Linked DNA regions of Mus musculus. The protein of the gene in region 1 interacts with the protein of each later gene in a pairwise test. Links are inferred from orthologs where the notes say so. Each region holds a gene or a part of one and is shown in the gene's direction. Other genes may lie near its edges.

Region 1 (3,134 bases):
ACCATGAAAAACAATTCTCACTTTCTTCTGCTTCTCTCATTCTGCCTCTGACTTAAAGCTCCTCCTTGTCCCCTGCCAGCCTTCTTTGGGATCCTTGGGACCTCAGTAGGGCTGTCTGTACCTCTTGGTCACCTTCATGTTCTTCACTGTCTCTCTCCCCCAGTCAGGCTGTTTCTCAGCTTTCTACCCTTTGCCCCTCCTCTGCTTTCTAACCTGCCTTTCCCTGCCTGTCTGTGACTGGAGATAGGCTTTGGGTGGTAACTGTAGCTCCGGGGCCTGTGTCTGCTTCTGAGCCAGCCAGCTGGGTTGTTCATGGACATGTCTAGAGCTGTTAACAGAAGCCCATCAGTTTGACTGATCTTCATAATCATTGGCCTCCCAGGACTTATAGTTTCAGTCTGTCTTCAACATTATCCTCCTGCCTTCTGCATGGGAGTGTATGAGAGCAAATGCTCAGAGAATGGATTTACTTATCCCACTAGAAAGGTCCTACTCCACCTGCCAGGCAGGACCCTAAGAGAAAGGTTGCGAGAGCCCAGCCCACTTCCCTGGCAGGGCAGCATGTCCCTCCCAGGTCCTGGCAGACAAAGTTGTAAGAAGCAAAGGTCAGGGATAATGAGCCTGTCTCCTCCCCATCTAGGCATTGATTGATTCCTGTGCATCCCCTGCCTCTCTGGCCAGGGATCCACATGTGCGCATGGTCACACTCTACGACAATGAAGAGGTATGTGGAGGGCTGGGGCAGAGGTCCCTCAGTGGAGTAGTCAGTAACTGCCTGGTGGCCCACACTCAGAGCGAGCCAGGGCATTCTAGAGGCCCCAAAGAGGGAGGAAGGAGAGCTGCCAGTGCTCCCATAGCACTTGTTCCCTCCTGGCCCTGCATAGATTTTTATAATGGATTCCATAGCCTGTATTCTATGTGTACCTTGCTGCATTCCTACCCCAAGGATGGGGCCACTACACAGGTCATCCTTTCAGGTCTGTGGCTTGGCACATAGCGGGTTGTCAGCTATGTTGTTTAGCTGTAATCTTGAGATGCTATAGTGGAGCTTGACAGGTAGATGTTCTCTTTCATGTAACTCCCTGGGTCAGCTAGTGGTTTGGATAGGTCTCTGGTCTATTATGCTAGTTGGCTATTCCATCTCTGGCTATCATGTCTATACCCAGTCAGCAGTAAAGGAGAGGGCAGAGAGAATAGATGCCTTTGTCTTCAAGAGTGTGGTCTGGAAATGGAATTCATTATTGCTCACATTCACAGAACCCAGTGTGGCCACATTCAGTTACAAAGGAAACTGGGAATGCTGTCTCTAGCTGGGTAGTTAGTTATATAGCTTTAACACCTGCCTAGCCCTGGGTGTAAATGTGGGGGACCAGTGTGGAAACCTCCATCAGTAAATGCTATTTCTAGTCCATGAATGACTGGGAATTAGTCTGGCCCTAGTCTACTGTCATATGTTCAGAAAGGAGAGTCTCTAAGGATACTTCTCTCTACCAAGTGACTCAGGTGGATCCCGGGCCATCCTGAACACTTTTACAGTCCAGGCGCATGTCCAGATTCCCACAGTCAAATCTCTGCCATCTCCAGGTGGGGTCAGAGAGTGCACAAGGAGCACAGTCCCTGCTGACGGAGCTGATACTACGGCGCATCTCAGCCTCACCTCAGCGTCTGACTGCCTTCGAGGAAGCCATACCTAAGTCCTTCATGATCAGTGCAGACATGGCCCATGCTGTGCACCCAAACTACTCGTGAGTCTTCATACCAGACAGTACTTATGCTAGAGACGCGGCATAGCCCACTTGCAGGCTAGTTCCTGGGCCTGCCTTTCTCCATCTGCTGGGAGGTTCAGGAGTCTTCCATTTGATTATTCCAAGGCCAGACTTATGCAAAGCCATGTGTTGCCTAAGCCGGGTGTATATATTAAGTAAGCTTTGTCTGTGACCTTGCTTCCTTTCATGGCTAGAATCTGCCTGAATCGTTTGTTCTGATGCCCTTGAGGACACGCAGGGCTAGGTGGGAAAGAGTGCCATGATCCATTAGTGCCATCTGCCTTGGAAGGGGTAGTGGCTGTTGACAGCCCCCACCACAGTGTGCCATCCTGATCTTTATCACCTCTCACAGGGACAAGCATGAAGAAAACCACCGGCCTTTGTTCCATAAGGTAAGATGCTGCTTCTCAAAGATGTGGCGGCCTGGCCGACTCTGGCCTCTGTGGTTCACACAGGCCTCACATCATCTCTGTTCTGGGACTTTTGCCAGGGTCCTGTGATCAAGGTGAACAGCAAGCAGCGCTACGCCTCTAATGCAGTGTCTGAGTCCATGATTCGAGAGGTGGCTGGCCAAGTTGGGGTGCCCCTGCAGGTGAGTGTGCATCTTTTCTAGGAAGGCTTGGTGGAGGGAGCAGAATAAAGACATAAACTGATGAGCTCCCAGTAAGTGAGGAGCATAGGAGAGAGACTTTAGTGGAGGGAGTCCCAGTGAATGAGAAGATCTGGGGTTTGGGGTGCAGAGCTAGATGCAGTGCTGGCTTTGTTGTGGTGACTTTGGCCTAGTTTGCTAAGCTGTCTTGAGTTTTTGTGTGCCCATTGGTAAAGTGAGGGTGATAATGAGCCCTACCCTGCTGATCTCTGTAAGGATTACTCCTGCCACCTGGTAGGTTAGTCCTGCCCCTTTTCCTTCTATAACCCCATGTCTCTGTGTCTTTCTTTACTTTTACTTCAACCCAGAAGGAAGATTCAGGACTGGTGAGCCTAGAACCCCAAGTGTTCATTTTCCCTCTGGCCTGAGATCACCCATCACTGTCCTTAGGGCACTACATGAGTACACACACTCCACATCAGAGACTTGGCCCAGGCCAGTCCATCGATGGACAACACCCAAGTTCTGGGAGAGGCAGGACCAGACAAGGGCCGTCTCTGCATCAGTGTCTCCATCTTGTCCCATGTAATGTCTGATCATTCCACTCACAGAGAGGTCTCTGGGAGGAAGTGAGAGGCAGCTGCTGAGAAACAAATACCATGGGGAGGTCCAGAGGGCGAACATCTCAGCCAGAGGGAACAAACAGAAAGATCCCCAGGGGGAAAAGGAATGAGTTAGTCTAGTAGCAGAAGAGAAGGCCCAAGTTGAGAGCAAGAGGG
Region 2 (3,658 bases), on another chromosome or scaffold:
GCTACTCCAGTGAGTGTCCTTCCTCATTATGTCCTACCCTTTTATGTTTAACTATGTTTTTTATTCATCCAAGGTGACATGAATTTGGTAACCATCCTTCACATAGAATTTTAACATTGACTAACCATCTAAGAACATGTGTTTAACAAAGAAACATTGATCTCACTGAATAATTGGGAGTACTGAGATCTTTTTCCCTGACTTGGTTATTCTTTTTAATGTGTATATGTGTGTCCAAGTCTCCTGGGGTTGGCAGCTATTCTAATTCCAGGAATTCAAGGATGAGATGCTTTTACGCAGACAGCTCTTGGATGACTGAAATAAAAAAGGATGAGGCAGTATTGAACTGTGCTAGATAGATTCAGAACCAAATTTGTTTTTATCTCTCCTGGTTGAATACTTCTACTATTTGAATTTTATCTATTTTATAAAATGCCTTAAATTCTATTTTTGATTATGTGGTATTCTTGAGCTATACTAACAGCTCTTGTTTGACTTTTTATTATTTTATGCATTGAGTCTTTTGTTTGTTTGTTTAATGACAGGCTCCCTTCATGTTGGGGATGAGATCCTAGAAATCAATGGCACAAATGTGACTAATCACTCAGTAGATCAGTTGCAGAAGGCAATGGTGGGTATTCTCTGCACCAGACAAATACTATCTTCTATGTTCATGAAAGGTATATGGGAACTGGTGCCACTGTATCTCATTTCTCTGCAAAAGCATGGTTATCTTATTGAGAGGGTGTTTATCACTTCTGATCCTCTGATATTCTGTCTAAGAAATATTATTTCTCTGCTTTCATTTACTAAAACTGCAAAGCAGGGCTAGTAACTTGAGAGCATCAATCTCATAAAAAAAAAACAAGACTATTGCCCTGGGTATCTGGAGATTGTGGTGTATATTGGTATTTCTGAATCCTTGCTTTACTTTATTCTTGCTGTATGGCTTTGAGCAGGTGGATTCGTTTCTCTCAGTCTGTAGTCTCAGAATCCACTATGTGGATTCTGCTTGGTGTTTATGCTGCCTTTCTGTTTGCCCCTCCTGATACTTTGCCATCTTTCTTAACTTTGTCTTACATGTCAGTAGGTTGATTTTAGTTTCTAGATCACTTGGGCTTCAGTAGATTCAGCAAGCAGTTATTAAAGGTATTTATGTGCTTGCTCTCTTACCTGACGAATCTGCTCCTGTAGGTACCAATTTCACACAGGTGTGGACATCCTCGAAAGATCCAACAAGGGAGAGAATTCTTCCTGAGGATATGTATACCTGTGTGAATAATGTCCTTCATGAAACTTTTCAAACTCCCTTTTTGAATGTGCTACCTAATTATTACTGGGCTGCCCAGTAATATCATAGTACCGGGAGTGATGTCAGAAATTTGGCCCTTAAAGTGGGCCTCTGACATTGAACTACTTGCAAATGAGCATAAGCTAAAAAGATAGTACATCAGAAAAGAGCTAATAATTCTGGGGAAATCTAAATTTCATTTTAAAAACAAAACCAAATAGAAAACTGGGCAAAAGAAACAAAAAAACTACTGACCAACCTTTTAAAAATCTGCTCAATTACTACTGCACAATCCATCATAGCCAAGCTATGGAGTCCAATAAACTAAAAATATGTGGTATATACACACTATGAAATGCTGTCCTGTCTTATACAAAAAGGAAATCCCATTATTTGATACAACATAGGTGCACCAGGAGGACATTATATAAATAAGCCACACCCAGAAAGATAGTCATCACGTAAACTCTTATATACGTAGAATCAAGAAAGGCAAACCTGTAGAAGTAGAGAGTGGAATGGTGCTGATCAGGGGCTGGGAATGGGTGGGGATCATGGAACTATAAATAATACAACAAACCATTTATTTATTTATTTATTTATTTATTTATTTTTGGTTTTTCGAGACAGAGTTTCTCTGTGTAGCCCTGGCTGTCCTGGAACTCACTTTGTAGACCAGGCTGGCCTCGAACTCAGAAATCCGCCTGCCTCTGCCTCCCGAGTGCTGGGATTAAAGGCGTGTGCCACCACGCCCGGCACCGGATTATATTCTTTTTTTTTCAGTTTGTCTTTTTTAAATATTTTTTATTAGGTATTTTCCTCATTTACATTTCCAATGCTATCCCAAAAGTCCCCCATACCTTCCCCCCCACCCCCCTACCCACCCACTCCCACTTTTTGGCCCTGGCGTTACCCTGTACTGGGGCATATAAAGTTTGCCTATAAATGGGCCTCTCTTTCCAGTGATGGCCTACTAGGCCATCTTTTGATACATATGCAGCTAGAGTCAAGAGCTCCGGGGTACTGGTTAGTTCATAATGTTGTTCCACCTATAGGGTTGCAGATCCCTTTAGCTCCTTGGGTACTTTCTCTAGCTCCTCCATTGGGAGCCCTGTGATCCGGATTATATTCTTGAAAAGTCCTAAGCGAATATATGTTGAGTATTGTCACAACAAAAATAAGTTGTGAAGTAATGCATATGTTAGTCATATGATATATACATAATTTGAAAACATTTGTATGTGATATTATGCATATTTTATTATTTAAATTGTAAGAAAAAAAGAGAGGATGATCAGCTGTAATTATGGTAACTAAATTACAAAATAAATCGTTAAGCTGAATGCAATATAGCTCATGCCTATAATAAAAGCTCTTAGGAGGCCAATAACAAGTTAAACTTGTATCTACTTCCAGTTGCGATGGGACTTGGAAGCCTGAGGCAGAAATGATCATAGGTTAAGGCCAGCCTCAGCTATATAGAAAAACCAAAAACCAAAAGAAACATGTGACTGTAAATATTTGCAATGTTTTATTGCATTATTATTTTTGTGTCTTCAGTTATGCTGGTGTGGGAAGTACATGACAATCTCATGGTTCAAGAGGTAATATCTGACCAAATCTTAAACTATAAAAATGGTTCTGTCGTGAAAACCCTGACTTTATAAAACCCTATTCCTCCACCCCCCGTAAGTTTTTGCTACAGTTTCATTTTTCTTTTCTTTTTTAATAGAAGGAAACCAAAGGAATGATCTCATTAAAAGTCATTGCTAATCAGCAGAGTCGCCTTCCTGCGCTACAGGTATAGAGTGCCATTTTCTCTTTTGTGCTGTTTGGTGGTCTTTGAGATTTTATTTAAAATTACATGATTCTATAACTATACATTTTGAATCTCTCACAGGTGTTTAGTTGCTTGGCTTGGGATCCTATTATCCTATTGTCCACTCTGTCATCTCCTTTATTTTCTCTCTATTTTTCTTGTGTCTGTGTGTGCTTGTTGTGCTTGTTCATGTGTGTTCAAGTGCATTTGTGTAGAGGGCAGAGGACAACCTTGGGTGTCATCCATCTTTATGTGTTTGTTGGGGTGTTCTTGTGTAAATGTGTGTGCGCATGTGCACATGTATGTATATGAGTGTGGAGGCCAGAGGTTTATATTAACCTCACCTTACCTTTATTTATTTATTTATTTATTTATTTTTGAGAGGTGTCTCTCAAGGAACCTGAAATTCATTGATTGGGCTAGAATGGTTGGCCAATGAGCTTCAGGGATTCACCTATTTCTTCTCCCTGACCCTCTTCTCCAGTACTGGAATTTCAGGCAACACATTGTGCCCAGTTTTTTTTAGATTTAACTGGGGTCTGAACTCA

What was found.
Region 2: the proteins of Dnpep (region 1) and Mpp1 interact in binary tests that used the Homo sapiens proteins (3 or more experiments, as listed by UniProt). The two-hybrid records come from large-scale screens. The link is inferred for Mus musculus from reciprocal best matches to the Homo sapiens genes DNPEP and MPP1.

The regions. Positions count from the first base shown.
Region 1 is NC_000067.6:75,311,016-75,314,149, reverse strand, and holds part of Dnpep (aspartyl aminopeptidase), read left to right. Parts: intron 1-640; coding exon 641-724; intron 725-1,584; coding exon 1,585-1,745; intron 1,746-2,118; coding exon 2,119-2,158; intron 2,159-2,256; coding exon 2,257-2,358; intron 2,359-3,134.
Region 2 is NC_000086.7:75,120,869-75,124,526, reverse strand, and holds part of Mpp1 (55 kDa erythrocyte membrane protein), read left to right. Parts: intron 1-545; coding exon 546-631; intron 632-3,023; coding exon 3,024-3,092; intron 3,093-3,658. UniProt on the Homo sapiens protein: Essential regulator of neutrophil polarity. Regulates neutrophil polarization by regulating AKT1 phosphorylation through a mechanism that is independent of PIK3CG activity.